Schizosaccharomyces pombe: one gene and its partners. The gene in region 1 interacts genetically with each later gene. Each region holds a gene or a part of one and is shown in the gene's direction. Other genes may lie near its edges. The genes, in order: aut12, vps1, tcg1 and sec72.

The links.
Region 2: mutations in aut12 (region 1) and vps1 together harm fitness more than expected from each alone (negative genetic interaction), as found in Schizosaccharomyces pombe (one large-scale study listed by BioGRID).
Region 3: mutations in aut12 (region 1) and tcg1 together harm fitness more than expected from each alone (negative genetic interaction), as found in Schizosaccharomyces pombe (one large-scale study listed by BioGRID).
Region 4: mutations in aut12 (region 1) and sec72 together harm fitness more than expected from each alone (negative genetic interaction), as found in Schizosaccharomyces pombe (one large-scale study listed by BioGRID).

What each region holds. Positions count from the first base shown.
Region 1 is NC_003424.3:641,345-645,588, reverse strand, and holds aut12 (autophagy associated protein Aut12), read left to right. Parts: upstream 1-2,050; 5' UTR 2,051-2,076; coding exon 2,077-3,371; intron 3,372-3,457; coding exon 3,458-3,704; 3' UTR 3,705-3,744; downstream 3,745-4,244. Other genes in the region: chaperonin-containing T-complex beta subunit Cct2, read right to left, coding at 1-660, 708-839, 876-878; grh1 (GRASP family protein), read left to right, coding at 3,962-4,141, 4,188-4,244.
Region 2 is NC_003424.3:1,996,274-2,001,352, reverse strand, and holds vps1 (dynamin family protein Vps1), read left to right. Parts: upstream 1-1,937; 5' UTR 1,938-2,010; coding exon 2,011-2,103; exon of another isoform or gene 2,104-2,154; coding exon 2,155-4,098; 3' UTR 4,099-4,579; downstream 4,580-5,079. Other genes in the region: poly(A) polymerase Cid16, read right to left, coding at 1-368; Swr1 complex/NuA4 histone acetyltransferase complex subunit Swc4, read left to right, coding at 4,670-4,875, 4,940-5,028.
Region 3 is NC_003423.3:213,322-217,413, forward strand, and holds tcg1 (single-stranded telomeric-binding protein Tgc1), read left to right. Parts: upstream 1-1,777; 5' UTR 1,778-1,822; coding exon 1,823-2,034; intron 2,035-2,200; exon of another isoform or gene 2,201-2,284; coding exon 2,285-2,486; exon of another isoform or gene 2,487-2,539; coding exon 2,540-3,175; 3' UTR 3,176-3,580; downstream 3,581-4,092. Other genes in the region: mef2 (mitochondrial translation elongation factor G), read left to right, coding at 1-1,578; ergothioneine biosynthesis methyltransferase Egt2, read right to left, coding at 3,680-4,092. UniProt on the Schizosaccharomyces pombe protein: Binds single-stranded telomeric sequences of the type (TG[1-3])n in vitro. Has a role in meiosis.
Region 4 is NC_003424.3:4,386,485-4,394,531, reverse strand, and holds sec72 (Sec7 domain-containing protein sec72), read left to right. Parts: upstream 1-2,038; 5' UTR 2,039-2,107; coding exon 2,108-7,576; 3' UTR 7,577-7,690; downstream 7,691-8,047. Other genes in the region: kti12 (elongator complex-associated protein Kti2), read left to right, coding at 643-814, 960-1,633. UniProt on the Schizosaccharomyces pombe protein: Guanine exchange factor that acts as an activator of arf1 at the trans-Golgi net-work and is thus involved in vesicular budding and traffic between compartments of the Golgi apparatus.

The sequences.
Region 1 (4,244 bases):
GCGTTCAAGTTCGGCAAGCTTGCCAGTTGTGTCTACACGAACCCTAGCACCAAAAACTTTCACTTTATCCGTATCCATAGCCGTATTAGCAATTAAAATGTTAGCATTTTCCATAACTTTGGGACAGTTAACACCAATAGTTTTATTGAGAATAAATCCCTCATCAAGGAAGGAGTCATCAAGTTTACCACCAAGGATCTTAATAATTTGAATGTTATCCAAGTTCGTGCTACCTTTCAAGCGAAGCACTGCATCAACAGCCAGCTGAGCAAAATGGTTTTTATTCTGAGATAAGATTTTGGAAGACAGAGTAGTTCTGGCAATATTCTCGAGGTCACTACGAAATTTAGCAGGATCACTAGAATTATCAATAGAGGAAGCACGAAGAGCATCGATAGCAGTTTTAGTAGCAATACGATAACCATCGATAATCACTTGAGGATGTATTTTTGCATTGACCATAATTTCTGCTTGACGAAGAAGTTCAGCAGCGAAGACACACACACTGGTAGTACCGTCGCCAACTTCATCATCTTGGACTTTTGAGATATTCACTAAAACTTTAGCAGCTGCATTATCCAAAGCTATAGACTTAAGAATGGTAGCACCGTCATTTGTCACAACAATATCACCCGAAGAGTTTGATTGTAAAATTTTGTCCTATAAATCGTTAATTAAAAATTTTTTCTATGTAGATTTGACCTTACCATTCCCTTAGGACCTAAAGTGCTTTTTACCAAATCGCCCACAGCAATTGCACCCACAAACGATGAAAGACGGGCATTTTCACCCCGCTCTTGGATGCCACTTTCGTTAAAAATCTGATGAGGATTTAAAGACTATATCGTTAGTACGGTTTTTACACATGATATTACCATTTCCAGATAGTGTACGATAAACCCAGAGTTGCGGTGGTTGAGTGGAAAGTAGCTTACAGCGAACAAGAAGCTCGTCGCAACAACGTAAGCCGTAGCTTACCAGGCATGTACCAGCGACTGTATATTTCTAGTTTTGGATCGTAAATAATATTATAATCAAATATTTTTATAATATATATATTTCATTCTCTTACGTTCATATTCATGCAAAAGAAAATAATGAGACAGCTTTTAAGCATTGCTATATAAAACACTATTCTATTACTCTCAAATATAAAATATCAAAAAATTAAAAGATTTCCTATATCTATTCAAGTCTCTATGAAGTTAATACCGACTACTGAGCATGTTCAACAAACTAGATGATGGTTGGCTTAATCGAGTGTTTTATTATTGCTCAAAATGAAATATGAAGCGTCGATTAAAGATTTCAACTGATTTTTTATTTTCGATTCCCTGTATGACTTGTGTTTTCTTACAAGTACTAGACTAATGTTTTTGTTTTGGAGCAATATAGATATTGAAAGAACCAATGCGCAAATCTCAATTCTATTCAATATTAGATGGAACCATCTCGAAAAGTTAGCCAACAAGTTTCTAGATCTTTAAATGTGAATACCATCCTTAGACCTTGAGAAGTCAAGGATAAGCAGCATTTTAGTTGAAACGATAGATCAGTGATCACTCCTAAATAACTCAATATAAACAGTTTGTAGTAATACATCTAGCGCTATATTCTAAGCGCTTTTTAACATTAATTTCTTAACCAAAGAGTATTCTTAGTTTAGAGCGCGTACATTTCATAGAACGTGTAATTATTAGTTTTATTTTAAATTCAGTACTGTTCTCTGTATACAATTGACTTCCATGTAAACGTATCTTGAATGCCATTTAGTTGTAATATGAAATTCTTTGCCGAAGACTCAGCCATTCCAATCTTCCCTTTTGAATTACCTATACAACTAGGTACGAAATCATCTTCGGCACAATATCTTTATGATTGCACCGCAAAGTTGAGTTTCAACATTTATTTAAAGAATCAATAATTATTTTTTATTCAATAAAAAGCAAAATATTTAAAACGCCTTCTTTTCCCTTAATTTTAACCGTAAATGAGTGAATGAAGCGAGGTTAGCATTATTACAACAGCTACAGTCCTCCTTATTCAATCCATCCCACTAATGAAAACAGCCAGTTGATGGAACCAACATCTGAGCATTCATCAATCAAGGAGGAAGTGGAAAATGATAACGTTCATAGATCTCATGAGTCGGAATGTGGATCACTGCTGTTAAACCCTGGTAATGTTCTAATGGCAGCGCCTTCGGTGTCAGAGGATGATCAAGAAGTAAGCAGGTCTACACCAGAATTGCGAAGCCACGTGGAAAACGTTGAACAATTACTTTCTGATATATTGCATGATAATTCCTCTCCGCTTAATGTAAGCACTTCAGTATCGAGCAGTAGTAACAATACGGCTGTTGATGAAATTATAAAACTACTTTCGTTGATATCTTTTGATTTGGCAAAACAAAAGCGCACATATTTGATATTCTCTTCATCAGGGAAGCCCGTGTTTAGTAACATTGTTGATGATTCAATTGAGCCATCAACCGTTGGCGCGTTACAAGCAATTATTAGCTCTTTCGAAGTGTCGAAAGAAGAGCTAACAAGCTTTTCTACCTTTTCCAATGTTATCGTTGTTCTCTCCAAAAATCCTCTTTATCTTGTTGGCGTATCGCCATCGACAACTTTAAGCGCAGCATATTTACTCAGTGAGTTAAACCTCTTATATTGCCAAATACTTACTGGGGTTACTGCGAAAGCTATGCAGCTGACCTTAAACTCCCGCCCAAATTTTGATTTGAGAAGACTTATTGGAAGCAACGAGCAGTTCCTAAAAGAACTATGTGATCAACTTAATGATTATGAATTAGTCCCCACATTGAATGCCATATCTCCTCTTCCTTTACGTTCCTCTTTTCGTGATCAGCTGTCGCAACTGCTGTTGAGAGAAACACCCAAATCTCTGCTGTTTACTTTTATAGCTATACGAGGTCGGCTTGTTTGTATGGTTAAGGCGAAGAAGCTTTTATTACATGCTAATGATCTCTATTTACTTTTCCTATCACTCTTCCGCACACAGTCTTTTAATGATTCAATGGAGCATTGGGTGCCTGTTTGTTTTCCTACTCTAAATCCAGATGCTTATATTTACATTTATAGCTATTTCCTATGTAAGGACACTGTCTTGATAATGGGGAGCAGCGAAAGTGGTGTCTTTTTTGAAATGCAATCAGTGAAATGCAAAGTTGCTCAGGAAATTCAGGATCATGGATGGTTGAAAAAGCTCATTTATTGTGAAGAAATGGATAGAACTACGCCAAGGAATCCCGGATCTCCTTGTATTTCACATTACTTGTTTTATTCAAAGAAATACTCACAGTTTTATACTCCTGGCTATTCATTTTCAACTCCCAATTTCAATACTAGGTACGTATACAATGATCTATTTTTCTTTACAATTTCAATACGATCGCTATCTTTGGGCTCATTTGCTTTGCTAACTATGTTTTTAGAACTCTTTATGCTATTTATGCTAGCTTACACGACCAGGCATTTCACAAAAAAAATTCTTTCTCAATTAATATGACTGTCCATGAATCTTTGCTTCTATTCACGTGGTCAACTGCATCGTTCGACTTTCATTGTATTGCTAACGCTACCACTAGCAGTCAACTGCTTATTGCAAATGTTAATAAGATTTTGAGATGGATACGAAGGGAGGAGAATCGATTATTTATACAAACAAACCTTTCGTTTTGATAATGAGCATGTAAAGTTTAATGAAATTCATTTCTTTTTATTTTTTATGATGTTTTGACAGTAAAATATTTAAAAGAGCGGTGATTGCTTCCAACAGCTTTATTAATTTTTCTTTTTCCTTTTTTTGTTTTAATTTATTAATATCAGCATCATTTTACTCACATAAATTTCCGACTGTATGAACTTAATATCATAGCGAGTCAACCGCGCCATTACCTAAATCACCACCAACCCTATTTAAGTACTAAACAATCGAAATGTTTGGTGGTTTAAAGAACTTTATTAAAGAAAAATCAGAAGCTTTAGCTGGTATTCATCGAGAATCAGATGAATCATGTGGTTTCAGAGTATTAAAGGTTGAAAACGATTCGAAAGCCTATAATGCCAGAATTGAGTCTTATTACGATTTTATAACGGCAGTGAATGGGATCTTACTGGTATGAACTGATTATAGTTTTATCATTACTAAAGTGTTTTTCACAGAATGGAGACCCTTCAATGTTTATGGCTTTGCTTCGTGATTCTTCCCCCGAAGTAACT
Region 2 (5,079 bases), 1.4 Mb from region 1:
GATAACAGTGCACGTTCTATTTCTTCCCACTCTGCAGCGCTTTTTTGAGATTTTCTAGCTAATAAATAATTAATCAATTTTGGAAGTAAGATTGGTACCGGCAAATTATTTAATGATGTATCAACTAGTCTGATCTTCTTGTTATGGTAATGAAAAGCATGGCACAATTGGTTGGAGCTCAGAAGTGCTTTCAATCCCCCAGCTAGAGAAACAGCCAACTTATTAGGGGTAGAAATTTTCCTCAAATTGTCAGTTTCATCTTGGAATATTAGTAGATTAGCCTCTTTAATTGAAATTTCTTTGCTCTTGGCCTTTGCGTAAGCAAACAAAATTTGTACAGGTTTTAACAATAATTTGGCAAATAGCATTTCACGAGTGATATTTTTAAATAAAAAAGTAAAAATTCTTTTTAGGCTTTGCTTTTAATTAAGGATCACAGAATAAATAAAGGGTATGCCGCTTTTAAACGATTGAAACATTAATTAACGAAACCTTTGAAAGAATAAATAATTTGTCGAATTTTCTTCAACGAGCACATTAAGACAGTTTTGTTTTATTGACTTAAAAAAGACATGTATACTAAATTTATGTTGAAGACATTGAGTAAGTAGTGCATTGGTATGGTTATGGAGTAAGTGATCCTAGGAGGAGTACCAATCTTCCAGTCTCTTATTAAACGCTCGCTAGAGCATGAAGCAACCTATGCGTCGTAGCATTTGCTTAAAAATTTGGGTTTTACATGTATGCCGTTCATGTATAAACCTAACAGTATGCCGAATACAGAGAAGTTGGATTTTATAGTTAACCCAAATTTGCATCCTGTTTAGTAACAAATTTGTAAAAATTGTAATTTTATTGACAAAAAATTATTTACAAGATATCAAAGATATTGATTTGGCATTTGTATACGATAGAGGTGTCAAGAAACGAAGCAAAATGTGTAAGATTTTGACAAACTACTCCACGAGTTATACAACCATTTATTTTGATAACTAACTTTTGGAATGCTAGTATTATTTAGTTTTGGAGTCAAGAACCAAGACTTCATATGTTTCTCTATTTGTAAGTTTGCATATGGTATATTAATATGCTTTGATAAAAATTAGAGATATTATCCACTATGAAATTCGCTTCCATTTATTGCTAAAAAGGTCCCAATTGTTATTGGTTTTTTTCCAACAAAAAGCATAAATTGTTTGACGCTAAGGTGATTGCTAAAATTTGTCCAATGGCATGTGCAAATTGAACACACTTGTCGACTTCTAATCAGCAGCAAAACAGAGAATAATTAGCAAAAATTGCTGTTTCTATAAAGTCCATTCCCTTTTCCTACTGAACTAAAACTCGTTTTTGAATAAACTAGCGTATTGAGCACTGTCAGCTACGCGTAATGTAACCAATTTTTAAAACTGTGGTGGTAGTTTTATTTGAAATATACAATATTACGGTACGCAGCAAAACGCGTACTATATTATAAAGATTCTCGTAAATAGGTACTATTTTTACTTATCAGCAGAATAGCTTATAATTGTACTGAAAAACAAGGTTAAAGCAGTTTCCGTTAATTTTTTCAGTACTCAAGTATCAATGGGTAACTTTGTATTAAGATAAATAGCATTTCGCAATTATCATTAAAAGGATCTTTCCTGTTATTCCAACACAGGGCATATAGTGATACGCAACGTAGTAAAACGCAATATTAGTATATTATCGTTCGTTAAATATGGAATGATGCATCGCTTTAATATTACTTATCGAGGGTTAAACATTAGATTTATTGTCTAAAGTCTGACAACAACGTTTCAAGGGCATCACTGTTTCTTTTTTGGTAAATCAATTAGCAACACGATATTGTTAAGCCACCTTCAAGCAGCCTTACTGAAATCCGATTAGCGAGGTACTAATTTTATTCGACATATCCGAGTAAACACTACACTACCACAGCACATACCATCAGGTTTGTAACCGCCCATTCGTAAAATTGTCTATTTAGTGGATCCATAGTTGATAATGGATCCCTCATTGATTAAAGTTGTCAATCAACTTCAGGAGGCTTTCTCCACAGTTGGCGTTCAAAACTTGATTGACTTACCACAGATTACTGTATGTTGTGAATTTTAACTTAGATTGAAAAATTCACTAATAAATTGTTAGGTCGTACGGTCACAGTCAAGCGGTAAATCATCGGTTTTAGAAAATATTGTTGGGAGAGATTTCCTTCCTAGAGGAACCGGCATTGTAACAAGGCGTCCTTTGGTTCTGCAGTTAATTAATAGACCTAGCGCTAGTGGAAAAAATGAAGAAACAACTACTGATTCAGATGGAAAGGACCAGAATAATTCATCTGAATGGGGAGAATTCCTCCATCTTCCCGGACAAAAGTTCTTTGAGTTTGAAAAGATTCGTGAAGAAATCGTTAGAGAAACAGAAGAAAAAACAGGAAAGAATGTTGGCATTTCTTCGGTTCCTATCTATCTTCGTATTTACTCTCCTCATGTGCTTACTCTGACACTAGTAGATTTACCTGGTCTTACAAAGGTACCGGTTGGTGACCAACCTCGAGATATTGAAAAGCAAATTCGTGAAATGGTTTTGAAGTATATATCTAAAAACAATGCCATTATATTGGCTGTAAACGCTGCCAATACTGATTTGGCAAACTCAGATGGTCTCAAACTTGCTAGAGAAGTTGACCCCGAAGGTCTTCGCACTATCGGTGTATTGACCAAGGTTGATTTAATGGATAAAGGTACGGATGTGGTAGATATTCTAGCTGGACGTGTTATTCCATTGAGACTTGGGTATGTTCCAGTCATAAATCGCGGTCAAAAGGACATCGAAGGGAAGAAGTCTATTCGTATAGCTCTTGAGGCAGAAAGGAACTTTTTTGAAACGCATCCTTCCTATGGTTCTAAAGCGCAATACTGCGGTACTCCATTTCTAGCTCGTAAACTAAATATGATATTGATGCACCATATTCGGAACACCCTTCCCGAAATTAAAGTTCGTATTAACGCTGCTTTAGCCAAATATCAGGCCGAACTACATTCTTTGGGGGACACTCCTGTTGGCGACAACTCCAGTATTGTACTAAATTTAATTACTGACTTTTGCAACGAATATCGCACAGTTGTGGACGGCCGTAGTGAAGAGCTTTCTGCTACGGAGCTTTCAGGAGGAGCTCGTATTGCGTTCGTATTTCATGAAATTTTTTCGAATGGTATTCAAGCAATTGATCCATTTGATGAAGTTAAGGATTCGGATATTCGCACCATTTTGTACAATTCATCTGGCCCTTCTCCTAGTTTATTTATGGGTACTGCTGCATTTGAAGTTATTGTCAAGCAACAAATTAAGCGTTTGGAGGATCCTTCCTTGAAGTGTGTTTCCCTCATTTACGACGAACTTGTCCGTATTTTAAATCAATTGCTTCAACGTCCCATATTTAAACGTTATCCTCTTTTGAAAGATGAATTTTACAAGGTTGTTATTGGTTTCTTTAGAAAATGTATGCAACCCACTAATACCCTTGTAATGGATATGGTTGCCATGGAAGGTTCTTATATAAACACTGTTCATCCAGACTTTTTATCTGGACATCAAGCAATGGCGATTGTTCAAAGTCAGAATAGTAAGCCGATACCCGTTGACCCTAAAACTGGAAAAGCACTTACAAATAACCCCGTTCCTCCAGTTGAAACTTCATCATCTTCGGGACAGAATTTCTTTGGAAGCTTTTTTGGTTCTAAGAATAAAAAGCGACTTGCAGCTATGGAGCCTCCTCCACCGGTTTTAAGAGCTTCTACTACTCTCTCAGACCGCGAAAAGACTGATACTGAAGTTATTAAACTACTTATTATGTCCTATTTCAACATTGTTAAAAGGACATTGGCCGATATGGTACCTAAATCCATTTCTTTGAAAATGATAAAATACTCTAAAGAGCACATTCAGCACGAGTTGCTTGAGCAGCTTTACAAGTCTCAGGCGTTCGATAAATTACTCCAGGAAAGCGAAGTGACAGTGCAACGTCGTAAAGAATGCGAACAAATGGTAGAATCTCTCCTACAGGCAAGTGAGATTGTGTCTAACGTTTAATGATATAATGATAACAAACTGCTAAAATAACGAGGTTAAGTTACCTTATGAGATGATCTCATATCGATGAATGTCTTAATTGCTTTAAAGATCCTTGTTTTTTATTTTTCGTCACGCACTTTTCATCGCATATATTCTTGTCTTTACATGAACAATCATGTGAAGTTGCTCGCTTAAAATCGAAACTTTCGTTAAATCGATACTTATGTTTTCCTAGGGTTGTAGTGTCTTTAAATAAAGATTTCCCGAATGTAGCGTTAGGAAGACTCAATGAAGTTTTTATAAAAGTTTTTCAGTTACATTTAGATTATATTTAACGCCGATATGGTGTTATCTCAAGTTGGTTATTTTTTTTTATTAAATAACTACTCTATCAATACTACTTTATTCCCATATTTCCTGAATTACAAAATTGCAAGTGCACTCTAAAATCTCCTTAAAAAATAGGACAATTGAGTACGCAGTGTTATGCTAAATAAATACTGTAGTCTAACGTTTTTTAAAAGAAAACCACATTTGAAGTGTCGGCGTTTTATTCGTACACTGATGAGAAAATTCAGTTCAAAATACAATGACTAGTGCTGACATTCGGGATGTCTTTGAATTACCTCCTCCTGAAATAGGAAATAAGCAGAAATCTAAAACTCCAACAGAGAGAAGGCCAGAAGGAATTTCTCGAGAACTTTATTCATTGCTAGGCGAGAATTCTGCCCCGTTAGCAATATACCAAAAGAAATTTAAGGAAAAACCAAAAGTTAGTCACAAAGCTAAAAATTGGTGAGTAAATCAGAGCTCAAATAAATAAATTTGTGTATTCAGTAAGGAATTTACTAATTTGTAGGGTACGCCAGCCCTTTTCCATATCAAGCCGTAAGGATGATTTTACTTTGCATCATTGGGTCCTTAAATCAGAAGTAGATTCTGAAGCCTGTATGTTTGAAATTTTATTTGATAAGCGCTTGGTTAAACTAACCTAAACTG
Region 3 (4,092 bases), on another chromosome or scaffold:
TTATGCGGATCTTCTCTTAAAAATATAGCCGTTCAGCCCATCATGGATGCGATCATTGATTATCTTCCTAGTCCTGTAGAATTTTATGAAAAAAATGCTTCAAAAGAAACGAGTAGTGACAAAATAATCTCCCTGGATAAACGTCCTTTGCTTGCAAAGATTTTCAAGGTTATACATCATGCTTCTAGGGGAATTCTCACATATGTCAGAGTCAATGAAGGGACTTTAAGCCGAGGAATGATGATGTTTAATCCAAGAACTAAAAAGTCAGAAAGAGCAATTCGTTTATACAATGTATTCGCTGACCAGACTCAAGAAGTTGATTGCATTTCCGCTGGAAACATAGGAGTGATTAGTGGGATTAAACAATTTCATACCGGAGATATCATTATTAATAAAGAGAACTCAAAAAATTTTCATGAGTACCTTTCTGGAAATCAAAGTGTTATCAGTATTCCTGAACCTGTTTGCATTGCTTCTATAGAACCTTATTCGCTAAAAGATGAACCCGCACTTTTAGAAGCATTGGCTAACATGAATCGTGAAGATCCTTCATTTAGATATACCCAAGATTTAGAGAATGGACAACTATTGATACAAGGGATGGGCATTATGCATTTACAAGTTTCTTATGAAAGACTGGTGTCTGAATTTGGAGCTCGAGCATCTTTAGGAAAAGTTCAAGTTGGTTATCGTGAAACTTTGATTGATGTAAGCTTTAATTCAGTTACCTTAAGCACAGAAAATAAAGAGAATCTCATTATTAATGTTTACTTAATCCCTATTTCTGATGAAGGAGATGAAACCTTGAAAAAATATTTTTCTGAAGGTGAGATCCAAAAAGTTCGAAGTAAAGGGCAAGAAGATGGAGTTTTGTTTTATGGCTGGAAGCCGGAAAACTCGTGTACTTTACCGGATCATCTCTCTTTCCAACGTATTCAAGAAAACATCTACTTTGGAATAGTTGCAGGTCTATCGCATGGGCCTTTACATGGGTTTCCTCTCACGAATTTGCAGTCATTTTGTACCATTTCTTCTTTTCTATCTAATGACTTTCCGTTGTCACTTTTGACACAAGCATCGATGAAAGCTACCAAAAATGCAGTATTTTCATTATACAAGAGAAGTCCCAAAAGTTTCAGAATATTAGAACCTTATATGGATGTTACAATTACAACTCCTGAAGAATATGTTGGTATTGTTTCTAAAGATCTTGTAGGCAAGCGGGGAGCCACGATCAAAGAAATTACAGAGATTGGAAAGAATGCTGCTTCGAAAGACTCGCAGATAGCGATAGGAATATTAGGTGAAAGATATCTACCAGCTGATGAACCTAGTTCTGTTAAAGCAAACAATGCTTCTTCTCTACTACAGAGTTCATCTGTCATTAAATGTATTCGTGCTCAGGTGCCTTTGGAGCAGATTCTCGACTACAACAGTGTTATAAGCTCTTTAACAAAAGGTAATGCAAAATTTCTTATGTCTCATCCTATGGAATCTCAAACTCCCAAGCTGGTCAATTACGGTTCTTCCTTTCATCCTATGTCTATGCAGAGACAAAAACGAATATTTCCTTAAGGTCAGAAATGTGGGTTAATGGGTAAAATAAATACATAGAAAAAAAGATATAATTCTATTTTTCTATAAAAATCATCCTTATCATTAAAAAGCTGTATGTTTGACATTCTTTTTCTATACGTTTCGGTGTATGCATACACACACGTCTGCAACGGAGTTGTGTACATGTTGTCCCCAACGTCAGATGGAACCTACCGTTAGCATATATCGACTATAATTACTACAAAACGCCTAGACGAATTTAATGATGTCCGCTGAGGAAACTGTAACCCAAAACGCTCCTAATACTGTTCAAGATCAAGTTGAAGCATCTGTAGATGCTGCTGTACATGCATCTGCAGAACAATCTAACACACCTGCTCAACAAGCGGACGACTTTCGTGTTTTTGTAGGGCGTTTAAGTACGTCTACCAAAAAGAGTGAAATCCGTTCATTGTTTGAAACGGTTGGTACTGTGTATGTAAACTATTACTGGTTTTAGCAATTTCGAGTTAGAACAAAATTTTCTTATGTTTAAGCGCTAAAGCTAAAGCTCTCTCTATTAAAATCAGTGCATAATTTGGAGTTGTTGAAAATTTACTTTTTAGAAGTCATACTTTATATTTTTCACAAAAACGATTTTAAAACGGAGCTATGCGAGCTTATATTTACTCGAAACTATCTGTGCTACTTTAATTATATTTGATCATCTACTAATGCTTTTTAGTCGTAAAGTAACTATTCCTTTTCGTCGTGTTCGCCGTGGTACCCGTCTCGTACCTTCTGGCATTGCTTTTGTTACATTCAACAATCAGGAGGATGTTGACAAAGCTATAGAGACATTGAATGGTAAAACATTGGATGATCGCGAGATTGTTGTTCAAAAAGCTCGTCCTGTCCAAGAGCAACCTATAAAAGATAGGAAAAAGGTAAGTATACTTTAGTTCGCAAAGCTTTTATCAATATCATTCTGACACATTAGTCAAAAAATAAAAATGGTGAAGAACCTGAAACTTCAACTTCTGTCGAAAATGCTGAATCTGCTAAGGGCTCCAGTGATGAAAATGAAGCTAATACCGCAACAGCTCCTTCAAGTAATGAAGCAAATGGTGTCGATAAGAAACAAAATGAGATCAAAGGAAAGGGTGGGTCTGGTAAAAACAAGGCTAAGCCTTTGCCTCCCAACTCTATTTATGTTTCAGGCCTCTCCGTTACTTTAACAAATGAAGGCCTTAAAGAAATGTTCGATGCTTACAATCCTACTCGTGCTCGTATTGCTGTTCGTTCCCTTCCTCCTTATATTATTCGCCGTATAAAATTACGTGGTGAGCAACGTCGTGGTCGTGGTTTTGGATTTGTGTCTTTTGCTAATGCTGAGGATCAATCCAGAGCTATTGAGGAAATGAATGGAAAGCAAGTAGGTGACCTTACTTTGGTTGTTAAAAGTGCTGTCTTCCGTGAAGATAAGCAAAATGATGAAAATGAAAAAAATGAAAACGAACCTATTGAGGCTTCAGAATCTGCTCCCACTAACGTGTCTGATTCTACTGAGCCCAAAGCATCTGAGGTTGACTCAGAAGAAAAATCAGGCGTTACTGCTAGTGCTATAACTGCCTAAAAGTTAAAATATGATTTGTGATTATTCCTGGCTCTTCGTTCCTTTTATAATGAGCCTCGCCATTATACTTATATATGTCCCGAATACCCTCATGTTTCCGCACGTCACGTTCTCTCCCTTAGCATGGAACCCATGCATGTTCCTGGTAAAAAGTTGCAGCTTTGTAGACTAGACTATATTCATTGCTTGGAGTTCTGTGCCTTATATATTTTCCGTTTGTATCAAAAATACATTCGGGCCTATTGTTAAAAATAGTTTTGCATCTTTGTACATTTGAAACGTTAAAGTGCTTCAAGTAAAAATATACATTTTCTTCCAAAATTGTGAACGTTGTAATAATTGATTCACGCAAAATATAAGTAACTAGTTAAACGAATGTTATAGGCTTCTTAAGATTTAGAATCTATTGTGCTGCAATGTCTAAAACACAGGTGAGTATTAAATAACTTAAGTGCTTTGAGTCACATAAAAAGAGTCAGAGGATGCATTGTGAAGCATAGTTATTCAAAGAGAGCAGAAGTCTTTAATAACTTTAGCAATATAATAGAAATCTGATTCTTCTAAATACACCGCACCGCTAAGTCTAGTGTAAAATTTTCCTTTAAATTCCATAAATCGAAGGAATGTATTATATTTAGGCCAAAATACTTTCTGTGTTTCTATGGAGGGAATGTTGCGTAAGGGAACTTCGACGTTTACCATTGCAACTGGGTATGGAGGTTTGATAAAGGAAGTGCCCAGTTCTTTAGAAATAATTTCGGCTCCCTTTAAAGCTATTTCATGACAATATTGTTGAATCTTTTCTTCCCCTCCAATGGATTTTCGAAACTTAATAGCCTCACCAACAGCTATAAACTTAGGTAAATCTTGCTTGAAAGAATTGACAAACCGATTGGTAAGAGTATCTACGGCAATTG
Region 4 (8,047 bases), 3.7 Mb from region 1:
AAAAAAAAATATTTCAGCCTAGGTTTCTTTAAGTTCTGATTTTTCTTTACCCAATATTCAAGACGTTTTCCAGGGTACTAAATTAATCATTGGACTGGTATACAACATGTGTTATAAGTTAGTCGCATTTTACCAGATACATGTTAATGGCGGCATAAGTAGATACTTTTCTAACTTTTAATCAACTGCATTTAGCTTATATTTCTTGATGTCCTATGCACCTTTAAAATCTTTCAACAAATGATTACTATTTTTAAATTGAACAACCCTGATTGCGTAGAAGGCGTGCATGTTTTTTTAGCGATTAAAATCCGGGGTCTTACTAGTGTTAATCCTTAATTCTTTTAGAACAATTGATAAGGTAAAGGGAAGCAAGATTAAATTAAAGAGACCGCAAATTGAAATTACTGTGTTTTTAAGCCTAAGCAATACTTACTAGTCGTAAGTAATAAGTCAGTACCGAAATTGAGCGCATTACGAAATACAAATTAAGGATAAAAATTAACTGTTTACTAATGTTTAACGAACTAGTAATTTTCGTTAAATTCATGAAAAAATATATCAAAAAAAAGCTGGAAGTTTTCAAACATATGTTTTACGGCTGATTTTATTCAACCTTCTATTTTGTAGAACATAAAGAAAATGCCATTAATAATTGTTTCAGGTTATCCATCTTCAGGGAAAACAACGAGGTCAAATGAACTTAAAAAGGCTTTAGAAGATCGAATTCATCAAAATATCGACAATACAAAGGATTATCGGGTGATAATAATAAACGATGAGAGTTTAAACATTGAAAAAGAAACATATCGAGGTATGTTTAAATAGTTATCTTTAATGATTTAGTTTTTGGAAATTAGCCAATTCATTTTTGGCTTCAGATTGTGCCCAGCTACTCTAGATGATGGGAGAATCCGTATATGCAATTTTTCGTAATTCTGGTAACTAATTTGTCTTAGAGTCCAAGAACGAAAAGGCCGCTCGTGGCCTTCTCTATTCTGCTGTTCAGCGTGAACTTTCAAAATCTACATTCGTAATTTGCGATGCCTTGAATTACATAAAAGGATTTCGATACCAGTTATATTGTGAATCAAAGTCTATGTACACAACTCATTGTGTGATTCATGTTGCTGTTCCTCAAGATTTATGTCGAAAATTCAATAGTAACAAGGAACAGCCGTATCCTGACGATGTTCTTGAGCAATTAATGTTTCGTTATGAAGAACCGAATGGAATGACACGATGGGATTCCCCTTTATTTACTGTCTTGCACGATGATGCTTCTTGTCCTATCGATGACATCTGGTCAGTTCTTATTCATAACAAAAATGTCAAGCCTAACCAAGCTACAATGGTAAAACCTCCAGCTGAAGTCAACTATTTATATGAATTAGATAAAACTACTCAAGACGTAATCATGCTTATACTGGATAATTCCAACGATACCTCCTTGATTACTGTACCAGGGAGCAAACTTCAAATCGCATTACCCAGTGTTACAGTATCTCTTCCTTTACTTCAAAGATTGCGCCGTCAATTTATCCAAATTAACCGGCAACAATCATATAATACCAATGTTCTCAAGGAAATGTTTGTCGAATTTTTAAATGGTCAATTTGAAACCTTGGACTGATATCCTTTTCTTAAACTTTATGATATTTTTTTTTGGGATTTTTAAGGGGACGAAAAAATGTAGCCTAATATTAATACTTAACTTTGTTTGTTTCTTTTTTTTAGAACATGTTTAAAATGGTAGAAATCGTACATTTTGTTTAATTCCTTAATCCTTTTACAGTTTAAGGAATGCTGTCCTGTAAAAAAGAAATAAGAAAACGTTCACGGTCAATATCGACAATAAAAGTTTCAGTAAAACAACGAATATTGTATAAATCTAGTTATAATGTTTACTATTTAATCCATACTGTAATAAAACAATTTATTATAAGTCTCGCTCGTTTGCTTTATATAAGTAGCACATTGAACCGAGATCTAACGTTCGACACATTAAGGCCGAAAACACTTAGCAAAGACATACTCCGCCTTATATTTCATTGCTAAAAGTTGGCTCGTCTAGACGGCAATTGGCTTGAACGTGACCGATGCCAAAATGCAGGATGCCTCTGAACCTGTGATCAATATGCCTGCTCTGCCTATGAACTCCGTGAATGAGCAACATGACAGACACGAAGATCTTCCAGAAGTTGGAACAACATCAGTTACTAAAATTATTAATGATTCTGACAACGAAGATGATGAAAATGGTATGGATCTCGGTCGTGTTGCTTCTGAAAGTTTAGAAGGCGATGCTGTGGTAAGTATTGATATAAATACAGAAGATTCGTCGTTGTCGCCAGCGAAACAAGAAAACGAAAAGAGTCCCGAAGGAATCGAGCAGAAATATCAAGAAGAAGACTTGAAAGACGACAAAAAATCCAATGAAACTATCGCGACGCCTGTACCTGACGCTGCATCGAGGGCCAGTTTGGAAAAGCAAAAATCAGGTTTAACCAATTTGGAAAAATCCACTCATGTAGTGCTTATAAAGTGCATCGAGCAGCTTATACAAATAAAAGTTTGTATGAAGAACGAGAAGATGAAGAATTTAATGGAGCAACTAAAACCTCTTCTACAAACCGAATGTCAGTTTGACAAATTTTTGATAGTAGAGTTATTTCAGTACTGCTTTGAATCCAGTCAAGATGAAGTTATGAACATTTCTTTAGACACTATTTCTAAACTTGCTTCATTCGCCTATTTTTCTTCAAAAGATAAAACACCTGCCTCATTTGGGCCCCCTAAATCCCTTCTACAGTGTATGGTTGATATGGTATGCGATAGTATCAATGATGAAGTTGTTGATGGAAATCTGCAATTGAATGTTGTAAAAGCTTTATCTGCCTTTATCTTATGTTCTGAGCAGGATAGTATGCTTCATGGAGCGATATTATTGAATTCTGTTCGTAAACTCTTTAATGTCTTTCTTCTCGGGGATAGTGATACTATACAGTCAGTTGCTCAAGCTTCTTTGACTCAGGCTGTCACTGTAGTCTATGAACGATTACGCGCGAGCCACACTCAGTCGAACTCTACATCTGCTTTACCGGAAGAAGATGCATCGGTGACGGAAAATTGGGTTCACGATGAGGATGAGCCTGACAAGAAAATTACTCTTCATTCTATGGCATCTGCTGGCACTTCATCATTAGATCATGTTAAAGTTGACGCAGATGACCCAGCTGTCACCAGTGTTGAGAATTCCTCTATCCAAGACGCGTTTTTAGTGTTCCGATCCATGTGTCGACTTGCTGTCAGACAAACCTCGCCTGATAAAGTCAGTAATATCAGATCTCAAGCTATGCGCGCGAAATTAATTAGTCTCCATCTTATATATCGCATTTTAGAAAAAAATAGTGACTTATTCATGGATCCTACTCTCCAATTTCGTGGTATCCCAGCACTTAAAGGAATGACCCTTGTTCATGCCTCCCGTCAATATATTTGCCTAGTATTATCTCGCAATGCTGTAAGTCCTGTTCCCCAGGTGTTTGAAGTCTGTTGTGACATTTTTTATCTTATGGTTTTTTCTTTGCGTGCCCACTTCAAACAGGAAATTGAAGTGTTTTTTCGAGAAGTTTATTTTCCGATGTTAGACCTCAAGAACACCTCCTACAATCAGAAGCTCCATACCTTGTTAATCATCCAGAGAATCTGTCTTAATCCAAGAGCTCTTGTAGAGTTGTATATAAATTACGATTGTGATCGTTCTTCCACTACCAACGTTTTCGAACAATTGCTGTTTTCAATCTCAAAAGTTACTACCAATGGTCCTTCGGAAACGATATCCGAAGATATTGAAGAAATTCTTCCTTCTTTAGAATCTTCTGAACGGAGTAGTACCCCTTTTCTAAATACGAACTCTGCTTCGTTAAAGTCCGAAGTGGTTCAACTTACCACATTTAGCGATTTTCAATTGAAGCTAAAGACTTTGCAATGCGTCCTTGACATTTTGCAATCTTTATCAAATTGGGCCGAAAGTGGTCTTTATTTATCTCGCCGAGGTGTGTCAACGGATGAGCAAGGTTTTGTTGGAGATTATGATGCGCTTTCCAGGTCTGATACTCCTGTGACGAATCCTTATTATAACGGAAAACAATCGTTTGAAGCAAATTCCCATAGCAGTAGTTCTATCGCACTTGCAGATCCTTCACAATTTGAATCAAACAAACAACGAAAGAAGCTATTACGGACTTGTATAAACAAGTTCAATTACAAACCTACTAGAGGTCTTAAGATGCTTTCAGAAAATGAATATGTTGACATAAATGATCCTAAAGCTATCGCTGAATTTCTGTTTCGTGCTGATGGTATTGACAAAACTACTTTAGGAGATTACTTAGGAGAAGGGGATGAGAAAAGTATTTCCGTGATGCATGAATTTATTGATTGTTTATCTTTTATAAATTTAAAGTTTGTAGACGCTTTACGTCGTCTATTGCAGTGTTTCAGACTACCCGGTGAAGCCCAAAAAATTGATCGAATTATGCTGAAATTTTCCGAAAGGTATATGAAGGAGAATCCGTCTGCATTCGCTAATGCTGATACTGCCTACATTCTTGCTTATTCTATAATATTGCTTAATACTGATTTGCATTCTCCTCGTATTAAAAACAAAATGACAAAAGAAGACTTCATTAAAAATAATCGTGGAATTAATGACGGTGCTGATTTAGATGAAGACTATCTTGGTTTTGTATATGATGACATTCTTAAAAATGAAATTGCTATGAAAGATGATCAAGAACTCGCAGCGATTGCTCCTTTAATGAATAATTTCAGCACATCTAGTGGATTCACCACATTTACTTCTAATGGACGAGATCTGCAAAGAGTAGCTTGTATTCAAGCTTCGGAGGAAATGGCTAATAAGGCTACAAGTGTGCTAAAAAAGCTATTGTATCAACAGAAACATGGATCACAAAAAACAAATGTTTATTACAATGCTACTCATTTTGAACATATAGGTCCCATGCTTGAGGCTACTTGGATGCCTATACTTGCTGCTCTTTCAAACCCTTTACAAAATTCTGATTATGTTAATGAACTTAATATGTGTCTTGATGGATTTCAGCTTGTTGTCCGTATAGCTTGTCTCTTTGACCTTGACCTTATTCGAGACGCTTTTATAAAAACTCTGACTAATTTTACTAATCTGCATTCTACCAGTGAAATCAAATTACGTAATACTATGGTTATAAAAACATTACTGAGAATTGCATCTACCGAAGGTAATAATTTGAAAGATTCTTGGAAAGATATCCTTACTATTATAAGTCAACTAGAACGCGTGCAACTGATTGGTGTTGGTGTCGATGAAACAGAAGTACCTGATGTTATAAATGCACGTGTTCGTCGAAAGAATGTGAACATTGGTTCTTCAAACTCAATTCGGCATGTTAGTGGAAGTACTTCTCGTTCGACTAGAACTCGCTCACTATCTAAACCTTTATCCCCAGAGGCAGTTTCAGAACTAATGTCCACTGAGGTAGTGTTGAGCATTGATAGAATATTTACCCAAACATCTTCTCTTTCTGGCTCTGCGATAGTATCATTCTTTAAAGCATTATGTGAAGTTTCTTGGGATGAAATAACATCTTCTAGTGATTTGGAGCAGCCAAGGCTATATAGTCTACAAAAGCTGGTTGAGATATCCTATTATAACATGCAAAGGATTAGAGTGGAATGGTCATCAATTTGGAACGTTTTGGGTAGATTCTTCAACATGGTGGGTAGTGATGAGAATAGGCATGTTGCTGTTTTTGCATTGGATTCCCTGAGGCAGCTTTCTATGCATTTTCTCGAAATTGAGGAGTTGTCTCTCTTTTCCTTTCAGAAAGAATTCCTTAAGCCATTTGAGTACGTTATGGCTTCCGATACCGTAGTAGAAGTCAAAGAACTTGTTTTACAATGTGTTAAGCAAATGATTCAAGCTAAAATTTCCAAAATAAAATCTGGATGGAAAACTTTGTTTGGCGTTTTTACATTTGCGGCTAAGGCTAGAAGCGAAATATTAATTTCTATGACTTTTGATACCCTTGTCAATCTTTTTTCCGAGCATTATGATACTTTAATGCAGCAAAATTGTTTGATAGATATGTTGATATCCTTCACTGAATTATGCAAAAATGGAACAAACCAGAAAATCTCTTTACAAAGTTTGGAAATTATTAGAGAAGTTTATTCAAGTCTTTCAACTATGATAAAGGAAGGACTTAGTTCCAAGCCTTCAGTAAATGAGACATTTTCTAAATATGTTTTCCCAGTTTTATTTGCATATTATGATATAATAATGTCAGCTGAAGACTTGGAAGTAAGGTCAAGAGCTCTTCAAAACTTATTTTATATATTCTTAGAAGAGTCTGATGATTTCACTGAAGAAACTTGGGAAGTTGTTTCACGAAAATTTATATTCCCGATATTCTCAATATTTGGACCAGAAGCGGATGAAGCGACTGTTATGTTAAGGGATGAGGAGATCAGGACTTGGCAATCTACTACTCTTGTTGAAGCGTTACGAAGTCTCGTCACTTTGTTAACACGCCGTTTTGACAAACTTCACAATTTGCTAAAAGGTTATCTATGGTTATTTAGCAATTGCATTTGTAGAGATAATATTACACTTTCTCGCATAGGAACAAATTGTATGCAGCAGCTACTTTCTGGAAATGCGTATAGGTTTGAAGTTAAAGATTGGAATCTGGTCGCTGATATGTTTATTGAGTTATTCAAGGAAACCACCCCTCATCAGCTTCTTCTTCTAGAAACATTTTCCAATGGGCAAGGAGCCCCTGTTTACTCCGAAAATGAAAATACTCAATTGAGCCATAAGCGAGGCGGTTCTCTACCGGAAACTTCTCGTTCAATTTCGACATCCTCAATTTCCCCTGAGAAACAGATGGAGTTCCGTTCAATGATTCGAAAATGTATTCTTCAACTACTTTTAATAAGTATTGTTGCTGAATTGTTAGATAACGAGGAAGTTTTTAATCATATCCCCCATGAACATGTATTGAAAATAACTGTGGCTATTTACGACTCATGGCAGTTTGCTCGCAAGTTTAATGAAGACAAATCTTTACGTATTACGCTTTTGAACGTTGGATTTATGAAGCAACTCCCTAATTTATTGAGACAAGAAACGGCTAGTGCATTGTTGTACATCACTTTGCTCTTCCGCTTATTAAAAACCAGAGACCCTTTAGGTAAAACAGAAACGGATCAGAAAATTCATAAACTTCTTTTTCCGGTTTGTGCCGAAATGCTGGATATGTATGCTTCCTTGGTTGTTGAGAAACATACGCGTAACCATGCTGCATGGCAGCCTGTCATTGCTACAATCCTGGACAGTATACTGAATCTTCCTTTAGAATTATTTTCCGAAAACATTCACACTCTTTACTTTTCTTGTTGTTCTATGATTGCAAAGGAGAACCTTGATGATCAACTTAGAGAACTACTTAAAAATTACTTTAATCGTGTGGGTCACATTCTATTAAACCTGAATGCCCAACAGGAATAAATAAAGTGATTTTCAATTAATTTCAATAAATTAGCTTCTAGTAAAACAAATAATCCTTTTATAATTTTAGATAACTTATTGGTAAACTTTCTTTTTTATTCTAAAAAATTGCCCTTCTTTTAAATAAGTTTTTTTCAAAACTTGAACAACCTCTTAATATTCTGCATGTAAGCTAATCAGTATTTGTAGTAATCCAACGCCAGAAGGAAGATGCTACTGCCACACACACCAGAGACCTTTTTTTTAACGATCAATTAAAGATTTTTCGTGAAATATCCTCTTCTATTATTCATTTCATGTCCCTGCGGCCTTTAAATATAGAATAGCTTAAAGTAAAGACGAGTACATTATGAGTTGAAGCATCAAGGTACAAATGGTAAATTTACTTTACAGAAAACATATTAAACTCACAAAATTTTGCCATGACAAAATAATAAAGGGAGCCAGTGATTTGGAAGATATAATCAGGAA